3 linked regions of the Caenorhabditis elegans genome follow. The protein of the gene in region 1 purifies or fractionates together with the protein of each later gene. This does not show direct contact. Each region holds a gene or a part of one and is shown on either strand. Other genes may lie near its edges.

Evidence for each region.
Region 2: the proteins of xrn-1 (region 1) and fath-1 fractionate together in Caenorhabditis elegans (co-fractionation; one large-scale study listed by BioGRID). This does not show direct contact.
Region 3: the proteins of xrn-1 (region 1) and gcy-27 fractionate together in Caenorhabditis elegans (co-fractionation; one large-scale study listed by BioGRID). This does not show direct contact.

What each region holds. Positions count from the first base shown.
Region 1 is NC_003280.10:14,067,205-14,071,917, reverse strand, and holds the start of xrn-1 (5'-3' exoribonuclease 1), read right to left. Parts: upstream 3,012-4,713; 5' UTR 2,922-3,011; coding exon 2,715-2,921; intron 1,782-2,714; coding exon 1,681-1,781; intron 1,264-1,680; coding exon 1,056-1,263; intron 1-1,055.
Region 2 is NC_003279.8:10,175,462-10,179,469, reverse strand, and holds fath-1 (Fatty acid 2-hydroxylase), read right to left. Parts: upstream 2,290-4,008; 5' UTR 2,282-2,289; coding exon 2,180-2,281; intron 2,128-2,179; coding exon 1,993-2,127; intron 1,945-1,992; coding exon 1,841-1,944; intron 1,794-1,840; coding exon 1,407-1,793; intron 1,359-1,406; coding exon 1,201-1,358; intron 961-1,200; coding exon 896-960; 3' UTR 555-895; downstream 1-554. Other genes in the region: C25A1.16 (uncharacterized protein), read right to left, coding at 1-103, 152-232; nola-3 (Putative H/ACA ribonucleoprotein complex subunit 3), read right to left, coding at 234-428.
Region 3 is NC_003282.8:17,432,423-17,438,339, forward strand, and holds gcy-27 (Receptor-type guanylate cyclase gcy-27), read right to left. Parts: upstream 4,210-5,917; coding exon 4,136-4,209; intron 3,798-4,135; coding exon 3,716-3,797; intron 3,673-3,715; coding exon 3,385-3,672; intron 3,337-3,384; coding exon 3,265-3,336; intron 3,170-3,264; coding exon 2,995-3,169; intron 2,636-2,994; coding exon 2,444-2,635; intron 2,227-2,443; coding exon 2,058-2,226; intron 1,999-2,057; coding exon 1,858-1,998; intron 1,496-1,857; coding exon 1,372-1,495; intron 1,329-1,371; coding exon 1,260-1,328; intron 1,217-1,259; coding exon 1,070-1,216; intron 928-1,069; coding exon 702-927; intron 647-701; coding exon 555-646; downstream 1-554. Other genes in the region: C06A12.8 (RxLR effector protein), read left to right, coding at 5,037-5,108, 5,154-5,286, 5,462-5,517, 5,563-5,733. UniProt on the Caenorhabditis elegans protein: Guanylate cyclase involved in the production of the second messenger cGMP. May be involved in sensitivity to quinine by regulating egl-4 activity through the production of cGMP.

The sequences.
Region 1 (4,713 bases):
AAATTTTAATGCATTTTTTCTGCCGAATTTCTAGATCATTTTCCATGAAATTTGCTACAAAATTCATCAAAATAGATGAAAATTTGAGTGTTTTGGCATTTTTTTTTCTCGTTTTTAGCCGCTTATTTCGCGGTTTTTTCGGCAAAAAAATCAGTTTCTGAGCCAAATTTTCCGAATTTTCCGGCTCCCTGTCAGATTTAGTGAAAAGCGAATTAATTTTTCCTTCAAAAAATGAGAAAAATTGATTTTTGAGCAAATTTCAGCTATTTTACATCAAAAACGTACAAATTTCTATTTTTTTCGCCCTAAAATCCGAATTTTCTAAAAAATTTCAAGAAAAATTGCAATTTTTCGCTTTCCGAATCTTTTTTAAATAATAAAAATTTGAAATTTAACACTTTTTTACTCAAAAACCCGGTTTTTAGCATTAAAATAGACGAAGAAACGTGATTTTTTCTTGATTTTAAGCCAAAATTGGCTTGAAATCTGTGAAATTTTTTTTCGAAAATTCGAATAAATAAACGCTTTAAAGCAAAAATTCAGTTTTTTCTCTAAAAAAGTTCGCAAAATTTCACCTAAAGGCCCAAAACACCGCAATTTTTAAAGCAAAAATATACAAATTTTAACGTTTTTATAAAAAAAATTGGACTAAAATGCTGATTTTTAGCTCTAAAACATAAAAAAAAATCGGGTTTTTTTTGTTGAAAAAACACTTCATTTTTGGGTCTAAAATCCAAAATTTCCTGAAAAATTGCAATTTTTCATCGATTTTTTCCTAAAAAATATGAAAAAAAATTGACTTTTGAGCAAATCTGAGCTCCAAATTCGATTTTTTTGGTCAAAAAAAATTTTTCAGCCATTTTGTTGGATTTTATCGCAATTTTCACAGCAAAATTGTAAAAAGTACCACTTTTTTTTTGCTGTAAAATCCAAATTTTCCTAGAAATTTCATCAGAAATTGGAATTTTCATCAATTTTTTCCTGAAAAATTTAAAGAAAATTGATTTTTGAGCAAATCTGGAGCTCAATCTGAAGAGAGCCATCATTTTCCTCACATTGTGACCGCTGAGAATAATTTTTCGGCCTTGCCAACGCGAATCGGTCGCCGATTTCGTTTTAATCCAATCGTCAAGCTTCTGATGAAGCCGTGTCATGAAATATGTGCCCGGGGTGATACAATTCGAGTCGAATCGAGCTTCAGATGGCATAATTTCGCCATTTTCCAGCGCTTTTGCGAGTTGAGTATGGGCTGTTCGGGCTGACCTGGAAAAATTGCAATTTTTGCTAGATTTTTTGAGCTTTTCTGACGTTTTTGAGCCGAAAAAAATTGAATTTTTTGAGTAAAAAAGAACAAAAATTGGATTTTTTTCAAATGAAAAAGCACAATTTTTGGTTATTTCTGACATTTTTGCGCCGAAAAATTGAATTTTTTGCAGTGAAAAATAACAAAAATTGGATTTTTTTTTTAGGTGAAAAATCACAAATTTTGGACATTTTTGCAGTTTTTGAGCCGAAAAATTGAATTTTCAAAGTGAAAAATACAAAAAATTGGTTTTTTTAATGGAAAAATACGAAAAAAATGAGTAGTTTTCCAATGTAAAAGCACAATTTTTTGGTCAAAAATCGCCAATTTTTCACCAAATTTCCTTTTTTCCTGCTAAAAGCAGCTCTTCCACATACATGAATCGTCTCGCCCGTTGCTGATTCATTTTTGCTCGCGGAGCCACACCGTCGACGGCCATGAAGAACACCTTTTGCGGGCGAATTAGATTGTAGAGATTCTGAAAAGAGAAAAATATCAAATTTTGTCATTTTTTACAGCAAAATTTGAATTTTTTGAAAAAAAAATTCAATTTAAACGGGAAAAATGCGCACTAAATCGTGATTTTTCAGACAATTTTCTGCTGAAAAACCGCCAAAATTCGATTTTTTGGTGATTTTGCAGTTTTTGGACATTTTTTTTCATCGTTTTCAACATTAAAATCGCCTTTTTTCGGTGAAAATCGATCTGAAAACCGCCAAATTTCTACTTTTTCAACAGTAAAACTATCGATTTTCGGCGGCAAATTTTAATATAAAATCCAAAAAAAAAAAATAGGCAAAAACTGCCCGAAATCAGGGATTTTAGTAAAAAACTGTAAAATCTTGTCCTCGGGGAGTACACGAGCCGTGTAAATCGACACATGGCCGTGGCCGAGATCCAGAAGGCCGATTCTTCCATTTTCAGACGTAAATAAGCTCAAAAAATCCAATTTTTGGCGGGTTTTTGACAGAAATTTGATGTTTTTTTTTCAAAATGTTCCGTTTTTAGGGTTAATTTTCTCCGTTTTTTGTGAAATTCCCTGTTTTTGAACTAATTTTCGCTGTTTTTTTGTGAAATTCCTTGTTTTTGAGCTAATTTTCGCCGGTTTTGGGCTAATTTTCGCCGTTTTTAGCCTAATTTTCGCCGGTTTTTTTTTTGCAAATTTCGCTCTTTTTTGTGAAATTCCCCGTTTTTGAACTAATTTTCGCCGTTTTTTTTTGCAAATTTCGCTCTTTTTTTTTTGTGAAATTCCTCGTTTTGTTTGCAAATTCCTCCATTTTTTGGCAATTTTCGCCGTTTTTAGCCTAATTTTCGCTCTTTTTTTGTGAAATTCCCCGTTTTTGAACTAATTTTCGCCGGTTTTTTTGCAAATTTCTCCGTTTTTGGGCAAATTTTTTCGGCGGCTCTTTACCTCAATATACGCGAAAATATTCACGAAAATCTCGTCTTCCGTAATTCGAAACGTGACGTCATCGTCATTCGGATGCGAGCAATTATGAATAATTCCATTCATATCCAAATACAAATTGTCGAATTCCGGAATTTGCGATTCGTTGATCACTTCACTCAGACACGGATATCGCTCCGATGTCCATCGGTAGAACTTGGGGACACCCATTTTCGGCGGGTTTTTGGCGATTTTTTGATCAATCCGTTAATTCTAGCGATATTCTAGATACGAGGAAGGGGGTTTTCTAGTCGAATATCTGAAAAAAATGGGGGATTTTTGAGGCGGAAAATCGATAAATTGACGGGCAAAATCAAGAAAAACACAATTTTTTATGTGGAAAATCCCAAAAAAAAAAAGCGCTTTTAAACGACGATTTTCTGTTAATTTTCGAGTTGGATTTTTGCGGAAAGTCATGAAAATCCCATTTTTATGCCAGAAATCTCGATGATTTTGCTTTGAAAACGTGTTTTTTTTCTTCAAAATCGGAATATCTGAAAAAATGGGGGGTTTTTGGCGGAAAATCGATAAATTGCCTCGGTTGAAATCGTGAAAAATTCAATTTTTTATGGAAAATCTCAAAAAAAAAATCGCATTTTCTGCAAACTTTCGAGCGAAAAATGAGATTTTAAACGATTTTTACGTCGATTTTTCATGAAAATGTCTATAAAATTATCGAAAAATCGATTTTCTGGCGATATTTTCCAATTTTCCACTAAAAACTCGTGTTTTGTGATACGAGGGTGGTTTTCTAGTCGAATATCTGGAAAAAATTGGGGATTTTGAAAATTGATAAATTGTCTCGGTTGAAATCGTGAAAAATTCAATTTTTTATGGAAAATCCCAAAAAAAAACCGATTTTTTTCGTACTTTCAAGGAAAAATGAGATTTTAAACGATCTTTACGTCGATTTTGGCGATATTCTTTTTTTTGTCTAATTTCAGAGTTTTTCGACTCAAAAAGCTAGTTTTTAGTGTTTTTGGTTGAAAATTGGCATATTTTTTTTTGTGGTTTAATTTGAAAATACCGCCAGAAAATCGACTTTTTGATGGAAATTGGTGAAAATTGCACTCAAAAAATGAAAATTCGTCGATTTTTGATTGATAAATCTAATTTTTATCTTAATTTTTTCGATTTTGAAGTGGCAATCACGTTTTTAAAGCAAAAAATTCGAGATTTCTGGCAAAAAAAGGGTTTTTCATGACTTTCGGCAAAAATATTTCGAAAATTAACAGAAAATCGCTAAAATCGACGTAAAAATCGTTTAAAAGCGCATTTTTCCTCGAAAGTACGAAAAAAATCGGTTTTTTTTGGGATTTCCCATTAAAAATTGAGTTTTTCTTGATTTTACCGGTCAATTTATCAATTTTCCGCCAAAAATCCCCAATTTTTTCCAGATATTCGACTAGAAAACCTCTCGTATCACAAAACACGAGATTTTAGTGTTTTTTCATGAAAATGTCTATAAAATTATCGAAAAGTCGATTTTCTGGCGATATTTTTCAATTTTCCACTAAAAACTCGTGTTTTGTGAGACGAGAGGTATTCTAGTCGAATATCTGGTGATTTTTGGCGGAAAATTGATAAATTGACGGGCAAAATCAAGAAAAACTCAATTTTTAATGGAAAATCCCAAAAAAAAAAACACCGATTTTTTTCGTACTTTCAAGGAAAAATGCGCTTTTAAACGATTTTTACGTCGATTTTAGCATGAAAAACCCTTTTTTTTGCCAGAAATCTCGAATTTTTTGCTTTAAAAACGTGATTGTCACTTTAAAATCGAAAAAATTAATATAAAAATTAGATTTATCAATCAAAAATCGACGAATTTTCATTTTTTGAGTGCAATTTTCACCAATTTCCATCAAAAAGTCGATTTTCTGGCGATATTTTCAAATTATAAACCACAAGAAAAAATATGCCAATTTTCAACCAAAAACATTAAAAACTAGCTTTTTGAGTC
Region 2 (4,008 bases), on another chromosome or scaffold:
GCTCATCGACAGTCCAAAGGAACATATCGTTGAGAGTATAACCAAAAGCTTTCCATCCAACGAAGAAAAGAACAAAAGAGACGATGATACGACGACGAGACACCTGAAATTATAAAATATCGTTTGGAAAAATGCGAGATTTGTAAATTACCTGTTGATAATTGATAGGTTTATTGGGGGTGAAAGAGCGGATTTTTTGCCGCAACATGCGGCGCCACTCCCAAACCAGCATTTTAGCAAACGGTCTTTGCCTTCTGGGTTGGCAAGAGTCCGAAGCGCTTCTTGATGATGATGCGATATTTGGAGTTCTTGTCTTCCGGCGAAAAGCGAGCTGGATGAGCGGTAAGAGTTTGCTCTCCAGATGGAGCAGTTCTCTTCAAAGTGTACACTCTTTGTTGGTTCTCGTCCAAGAAGTATCTCAAGAACATTGTCCGTTGAAAGTAGACTGAGTTCTGAAACTATCAATGATTTCTAAAACTTCTGAAACTATAGAGAAATATGAAATAAATACGGCGCATTGCAACGAAAAAAAGAATTAGCGAGAAAGAATGAAGGGGTGATTTCATTAGATATTTTTAAAAATTATTCCAAATTTCACGCATAACAGAAAGAAAACAAAACAAGAAGGAATATCACAAAATGTTTGATGGAAACCGGTAAGAAGTGAGGATAATAGGCACGTGCTGAGTAGCTGATCTATATAGATAAAATGTGAAAACAAGTTGAACTAATCTGGCGTACGAGAAAAGAAAAGGTAAATCGATAAATATATATGTACAACGGGTATAGTGGATCGTGAGAAAAGTGAATCGGGACAAGAGACTTAGAGATAAAAAACGTGAGGCAGAGTTCACTCAATAAACAACAAATTTTCCGAAAAAACATCTATGTATTATTATAATGGGCCCATTCCGAGTGTGTGGAAAACATAATCCCAAAGAGAAGTCGAAATTCCGAAGCCTGAAAAATGAAAATAGGCCTGAAATAGGGAAAATGATAGAAAAATTTCGATTGCGAAAATGAAAGTGCAAACGCGCTCCATCGCAAATCTGTGTAATTTTCCGTCAGAGAACATTATATTTCACGACAATTTGCAGATTATAGAAAATCTCAATTAAAAAACAGTTTTTAATGTTCTTGACTTAAAAATAACAAATTAAAAATTGATTTTTAAACAAAATCCCGTTAAATGTAACTTACCGACGTCAAAGTTTTTGAAGTGGTGATTATGATGATATACTTTTCTAAAATGTAAATTGCTGCGTGGACGAGGACTTCCGTGATGTAAATAATAGTGTACCATATCGTAGGTTACATATCCAAATAACTTTCCAGCGCCAAACGCGCAAAACACTGGCCTAAAACGATTAACTGAATATGGGAACCAGGAAAGGTTTAATACTGACCATTGGAAGGTATTGGAGTAGATTAAATAGAAAATTCCAACAATCAAAGTAGCTGGAACCGGAGGGAACACAAGGCGGTCTCCGTCCATCGGTGTTTTATGGTGAAGTCCATGAGCCAAGAAATGAAGAAGAATCTGATTCGGCGAATCTGGAGACGGCTTCCAATGGAAAACCCATCGATGAAGACTGTATTCAGTGAGAGTCCATGTCAAAACTCCAATGACGAACCAGGCAGACCACAGGAGAATCGAGTTATAAACATCGGTGGATGTTGAAAATGAGAGCACTGAGAGGATAGAAAAAGTAATGACGATCGGCATCCAAACAGCAGGGACCACCCACCAAGCTGTTCTTGTCATGCTTTCCAACACATCCGAATCGAAAAGTCTGAAAAAAAGTGAAAATTTGCATTGAAAAGTCGAGATCATCAATACCTTAAAGTTCCATCATATGGTTGATGAATCCAATGCCAATATTCAGAGCCAAGAGATCCAACTTTGAAAAGCATTCCGGATTTAGACTCAATCAATGGATCACCCTAGAATTTTAGAAATATTAATAATTAGATTTGATGGAAGGAACGAACTTTTTGAATTGCATTCACATTATATCTCTCGAGCATATTATAAGCGGCTTCCGAGTGCTCATGACGTACACCCATTATCCTTTTTTCTCCTCTGATAAATTCTCCAATTTCTTCTCCAGCCAAACGATTCAGAACCTATAAAAAGTTTGAGATTAGTAAAATATCCTAAAACTTGAAAAAAAGTTACCTTGGCACCTCCCGGATGTTTAGGCGCAAAATCAGCAATGTCATAATATTGCCCGTCGAGTTGTACTAGCAACGGCTTCTTCTCATCTGCTCCTATCCCCATATTTTCCACTGAAATATAGAAAATTATAAATTACGAAACGTTATAAATATAGAAAATATGAAACGGGGAAAGCAATATGATCATGATCTCATAGTAGAAAAATAAGTAGCAAAAGGAAATGAGCACATTCACCAGAAAACGTCATTTTCCGGTCAAGAAAAGCAGCCATATGAATTGAGGTTAGGGTATATTATGGGGACGCAGAAAAAATACCTATTCAAATTGAAGTGCAAAGCGCGCCGCCTCCGGGCCATGGGTCTCGGTAGGAAGTTGGCGGCAGAACTCATTAATTCAGACGTTTTTCAATTAGTTTCATATTAAAAAATTTTTGTTATGTTTTAAGTTGATTTTAAAGATTTCTTGTTTAAGAAATTAATGTTGTTTCATTTGACTAAAAATTCATGTCAGAATTTCAGCATCAAAATCTTTAAAAACAACATAATAAAAAAACGAAAAACACTATTAAAACGTTTCGATTGAAGGTTTTTCCGTCAAATACCTAACGAGACCCATGGTTTGGGGGCGGAGCGTATCATGTTTCTGCGTCCTCATAATATCACGAGTGAAGGAGCTGTTCGAATCAAAAAAGGTATAACGAGATTGCAGAATGGATTGTTTTTCAGTATTCACCTGCTTCAGAAAAGTGATGATTGATAGCTGGAAATACTTGAAAACAACTGAAAATAGAATAAAAATCTCTGCTACATTGCTATATTGAATAATTTCTCTCTCTCTCTGAGTCGGAGCAGGAAATGCACGTAGGTTCTCATTTAATTAGGTAAATCAACACCGAAAGAAAAGGGAAGCAAGTAGACGAAACGGGAAAACATAGTATTACATGAATTCTGCAAGGGATTCAGAGCACATACATATAATAGCATAGGAGAGAGCCGACACAAGAGAGGTGGGTGGTGGAGCAGGAGATGAAGGTGAAGGGTTTCTGAGCAAATTTGAAACATGTGCATTGGACATCAAATGTGTAATTTTGATATGTTGCACTTGGTCTTTGTGTTGGCCTGAGTCTAGTTAAAAACATTGGAACAATTGAGACATATCTGCCTCAAGTAATCATAGTTTCTGAGCTTCGAAATTTCTCGGTTTAATATAATTTAATTTAGAAATCTTGCAGCAGTTAAAATACGAGTTAAAATATATGAAAACACAAGTTTTGGAACTACCACAACTACGATTATATAGAAGACTGAAGAGTTTTCTGGCAAACAAACTGTCATTTTCCCACGATTTTCCTAGTTTTTCTAGACACAAATCGGGCACAATTGTGCCCGTTGGTACGAATACTTAATGAAAAATGTGCCATCTCAAATAAACCGAGCCTTTATAAATATATATTTGCAAATTGTGTGAGCCTTTTCCTATTTAAGCGGAGATGGCAGACGCTGAGGATGAAATATTCAAAAATTGTCCAGGATGTCATTCTGGAGCATTTAAATATTTTTGTAATTTTTAAGGATGTTAGTGTGGAATCTGAAGAGTTAATCTATATGGAAGGTGATGGAAGTTTGATTTAAAGTATCATAGCACCCGGGTTAAAAGAGTAGAGATTGAAAGAGCAAACTAGAGCAAGTGACCTAATTGAATTGAATTCAACGAGATAAAATGTGCGGAATGAGAGTGCGAGCCTATGTATGTGCACGGGCTCTTCGTCAGAAACGGGGGCAAACAATGGGGTTGAATATTTTGCCACCCCGTCTATCGTCCATCCTTCC
Region 3 (5,917 bases), on another chromosome or scaffold:
ATCAAACCATGTTTTAATTGAGTTTACCAACTACTATTCTATGATTTAACTATGCCTCGAAAAGAAAAAAAATCATGATTTCTGCTAATGTTTATTAGTAGAGCACCGAATGATTGTTTTTTATTTAACATTGGACTAGGAAAATATGGAAGAAAAATAACACATTATAGTTTTCACATATTTTTAAAGTTTTACACACTTCAAACTTTTACAATTCTCCAACTTCTGGCCTTATAGTTTGTAGTGTCCGTTTATAACAAACTCTAGTTCTCTTTTATGTTTTTCTGAGCAAATAATTAACCACTTGTCACCGTCTTTTCGTTTTCAACCTTTTACTTTTAGTTTTAAATTTTTGCGCATACAAACATCGGTGGACCTTGGAAAAATAGTTGGATGATCTTCAAAATTCAAAGAATTTATTTGAAAAACTATTGTTATTTCGATATGTTGTCATAAAAGGCTTTTTTTTTGTAAGAAAACGCTTTTGCAAAATTATTTAAACGTTCATTTTTAGAGAAACGTATATGAATTAAAAAAATAGATTTAAAAAATTTTCACGACTCTAAGGGATGGGATATTGTGCCCGATTCCTCGATTTCTTCGTCCTTGTGTATGTGCTCGTTAAGCCAGTAGCAATTCACTTCACCTACATAGAAAAACAAAAATATTTAAAAGTTTATATAAAATTGTGTTTGACATACCTTTTCCTTTGACATGAACTATCCCTCGTTTCACCAGTTTATACTCATGAGTGGCCAATAGCATTCTTGCTGTAATTTCGCTAGTTTGAATTTGCAGGGGAGGACAGTTTGATTGCATTCTGGACGCGAAATTTACAGTGTCACCAAAAAGACAGTAGCGAGGATTTTTAATTCCGATTACACCGGCAGCAATAGGACCTGCGTGGAATCCTATTCGAACTCGAAGCTGAAACGAATGAATTATAATTAATCGCAGTGCTTTGCCTTATATTGGGCAACTAAATTTTAAAATATTATGTAAAAACTTGTTTTCATTTTAAAAATGCATTGTATAACCCAATTATAAGATATTTTCCCTTGACAATAACCTTGTAGTTTTTGTCATTTTCTAGTGTATATGACAACGATATAGCACGAATTTCCAAACTCATTTCCGCGACTTCGAATACATGCCGTCCTTCATTCTCGTTGGGTACACCGGATGCCACCATGTAGGTTTCGCCAGTAGTTTCAACCTGAATTCACATATTGGGGAACGAAATGTCACTGAAAACTAATCTTATAAGCGTCATGCCTTTTGATTACAGTATCAAACTGATCAAAAATGTCATTGAGAAAGCCAATTACCTAGAAAAATAAACATTATTTAACAACTTTACGGAATCCCAACTTCTTTTGGAGGACGTCGCTTCAAAATTACAATGAAGTCACATATTTGGACAAACATAACCGTTGCCGATGCATAACTTCTAGCGGGAGCGATTACTCCGTTTTTCAAGTCTTTTGCAATACTCCTGTAATTTTTAAAACAATTTTATGTCTTATAATGAGATAATACTGAATGTCTCTGTTTTATTTTTGTTATTTGCTTATCGATTTCTGTATTTTCTGCAATAACTTTAATTTACAATTTACTTCTACGAAAGTTTTTAAAAATATTGAAATGTTTGTAGTGATGTTAATGATATTCGGTTATGTTGGACTATTGTAGTTACAATCAAACAAAGTCGCAGTGACAATACTAGTTTTGTTGGGTAAACTAGATTTCTTTGTGAATACAAGCACTGTGAAGTTACTTCCGAAAAAGCTGTGGAGCCAGTCAGCCGGAGGTCGGTTGTAAAAGCAAACTATAATGGTGATAAAATAATGTTCTTACGCTGGCAGCATCTCATTTAGCAATCTCATTGTTTGCATCTGTGCAAGGGCCAAATCAGCAGACCTTGCCGCAACTAGGGTTTCGAGCTCATCGGCATACTTCTCATTCATTCTAATCATTTGATCGATTAAATTTCCTTTTCTGGAAATTTTCCTGTATAATTATTTGAAAAACAAAATGTAATTCTTTAAAAAACATACGAATCAGCGTAACATATTGCAATTGCGTTTCGTAGATTTTCAATTGTCGGTCGCTTTTCCGGATCTCTATTCCAGCATTCTTTACATTTATCCAGCAGAGTGTCCTCTTGTGTTTCATTGTTTGAAATGAATGGCATGAGATTGTGATCAAGAATTTCCATCATGAGACCTTAAGATAAATTTCCCTGATGCTTTTCTAGACCAAGCATAAAGGTGACAAAGCTCTTTGAGTTAGGCATATTAGCAAGGAGGTTATATTGCGGCAAGTCAAAGAACATCCTAGTTTGTCATATTTAACGGTCCTCATTTGAGTTTCATTTGATTTGGTCTTCATTTGTTTGCGAGTCGACTCATTTTGACCCATTGCAACTTCTCAACTAACTTACCAGAACCCGGTCGCTCAACTGAGTGAATCAGTCGATATGGATCTTCACGTTCGATCATCATATAAAAAATCATTCCAACGCAATAAATATCGCCTTGTTTACTGCCTCTTACAAATCTGGTTGGCAGTTTTCCAGTAGCATCATATTCTCGAATATGCTCCGGCGGAAAACACACATACTGCGCGTAAGATACTGAAAATAAGAAAAGAAGGCATATATTCTTGGGGTAGGTGGCAACCAAAAATTTTCGGTCATCGGCAAATTCGGAAATTGCCAAAATTGTTGTTTTTCGGAACTTTTAAACATTATTTTTCAAAAAATAAAAATATACTTTGTTTTTCAGTGTAAATGTTGTGGTTGAAGTAACGGCGTGAACAGGTAAAACAGTTTCTGATTGAAAGATACAAATTTTTCAAGAAAATTCAAGTCAAATAGGTGTAGAAATTGATAATTGTAGATTTCCGGCTATTGTCAGCTTCCAATTTTTCCCGCAATCAGCTATTTTAGAAATTGTTGTCTGGCTTTTTTGCACATTGTTTTGAATTACTCACTAGTATAGTCACTTCTATCTGGCATCGTTATATTTTCTGCGTCGAAGTTATCACACACAAAGTTTGTGACCCCATATAATGCAATTTTCAGTACCCAATTTATATCTATTAGGCAAGTGGCTGCGTGAAGATGACCGTGATACGCAACAGGAGATAGGTGAAGATATTGAAGACCCTTGAATTAACAATCGATTTGTGATTTTTATTATAGAATTATTTTTTTTAATCTTCAGTTGTTCATGGAGTCTAATGAATAACGCAAAATGTTACCTTCAAAATATCTCTCATAAATGCGGATTTGAACGTTTCATCCATACCGAAATCTCGATCCAAACAAAATTCCTTGAATTAGCCTGATTTTCTAATTACTGAGAAATGTAAGTCTTGTACCTCCAGTGTTCCTCGTTCCACTAATGCGTGTAAAATTGTCATTGTGTTGAGATCATCATTCAATTGAATACCATAGAAGTTTGCCAGATTGTCATGTTTCAGTTGCTTTAAGTTATACAAAAAGTCTAAAGAAGCATTAGTGATATCGATATGTTTAATTTGTCGAAACTGAATAAACTCTGCTCTTTGGGTGCCAATTAGAGCATATGAGCCAAATACCCTTCGTCGTGATGTTAAAGCATTTGCTTCATCTTTTGCTGTTCTATTTTCAAGTTCACGTTGCATTCTCTAAATTTAAAGACGCATTTACTGGTAATTTGAATTTTATTACCGCATCTGCATTCTTGTTAACAATAATTTTCAAAGATTCCTTTGGAACTTTCCATGTCATCTTGTACTTCCGAGTATTTTCCCTGAAATATTAAATGACTTTCAAAGGGAACAAAAACGTTTTGTTTATTAAACTCCTCAAAAATATAATTATTTTATGACTTTATCGATAAGGCAGTTCTTTTAAAATTTTAAAAAACTCGTTCGCAGTAGCGACAACTACACTTGATGGAGTATACTGACGAGAAAAATATTACAAACTTTCATTCATACTATCAAGTATAATGGACATACCTGTTAATAGAAAAACTATTCAGTTTATTACTTAAATTTTTTAAAGTTTTTTGGAACCTGCTACAGTAAGAAAATTAAAGAAACTTTTTTTTGTAACGTTTCAGAAGATCATGAAAATGAAAATTACCCTATTACAGTTTCGTAGCACCAATTATAAACACTATATGAGAAATCTCGGATGACAGTGATAAGCTTGTTCATTTGGTAGAAAATAAATAAAATGAAAGTTGTATCTCGAGAAAGACTCTGAAATGTGTGAGTTATTTTTCCATGGCAACCGATACTTGATGAGTATGTTCACAACTACTCATTAACAAGAAAAACTTGTGAGGAGGCAAAGACAAAATAAAAGTGCAACCTAACGGGCATTAAAACTTGAGGAACATTTGATGATAGTATAGAAAAAAGTGTTCTAATTGAAAACTTGTCTCATGCCAATTTTGGTTTTGGTATTGGCCTAGATTTCAAACAAACAACATTATGATTTCGCGAGTTAATTTATGAAAGTTTATCAAACATGTAACTAAAACCTATTTGTACTCGAAAAAAGTGTTTATAAAATTTTTAATATCGTTTTAGTTTTCAGGAGAAGAAAACTGTAATTCCTACAAAAAACTGTACCAGCTGAAAAGGATAATGTTTTGTTCCCCAAGATTTACTTTCAAAATTACATTTTGAAAAAAACAGACGAGCATGAGAATATAATTTGCCAAACTTTTATCTGATTTTTTCAAACACTAGTGTTTCAGCGAAAGGTATCAATGCACAAATATTATTTTTTTAAAGTTTCATAAAATTTCCAAGTTTTGCCCAGAATTATTAAAGTATTTGTTCGCATCTTTCAGTTTCTTCATATTTTTCTCTTCTTCTACGTCAATTGTCAAGAAAAAACTATTTACATCTTTAGCTGATCGCGGACAAATAAAATTATCATATCAATAAAACCTTTGAATTTTGTTTTGTTCGCCTCAATCAAAGCTGCACCTAAAACCGACAGTTTTCTGACTAAAACTTTTCATTCAACATCAATGAAGTTTGGTTGTCTATTCGGTTTTACCATCTTGTTTTTCATTGTTCTTTTCCAAAGTATCGAAAAAACTGTGAGTTTGAAAAAACGATTATTAAATTTTCCAGTTATTTTATAGACGGCTTATGTTGCAAGAAATATCACGGTAGACCGAGCAATTGACACAATGCTTATGAAAATACAGTCTGCTGTCCGGAAAAGAAATATGACAGAATTTGAAAAATACTTTTCTGCTAAATTCGATTCGGAATGTATGTGGAAGTTTGTTAAGTTGAAAAATGGCTCCTGGAAACAATGCGAAAAATACGAGCTTTGAAGCTTGTAACACGAATAAATTATTTGTTCTTTTTTTTGAGATGCGAGAAAAAAAAGAAAGCTCGGTCATCTATTATGAACAGAGGTTTAAAAATTTTTATAATTTTCCAGCTTGGTTTGACCGTTACTATTCGGAACTTTCTGAAAGACAGTTGGGCTCATTTGTGGTAGTTTGCGTCATCTCCCATGTTATTTTTGAACGCTGTTTTCAGCTTCGCCGCTTTGGACACGTAGATGCACGTGGCAAGGATTTCAAGTTCAAATTTTCGGAATCTCATGACGTTCCTGGTCATCTACTTCTCCGGTCGTTTATCGCATGGACCAAGCGATCCTTCACTAATGCATTTGCAATTCAAACAATTCGATATTATGGAGAGTATTGAAAATTTCATCAGCCAAAAAAATTTTACTGCTTCAGTTGTATTAATGAAAAAATAATTACTGAGAACAATATAATGCAAAAAAAAGCAACACATCCTTTCTTACTTGAAGAAACTTTACGAGATAAAGTCTATAATTTGAAATATAACTAGATACGGTAATGAAATCTTGGTCTAATTGAATAGA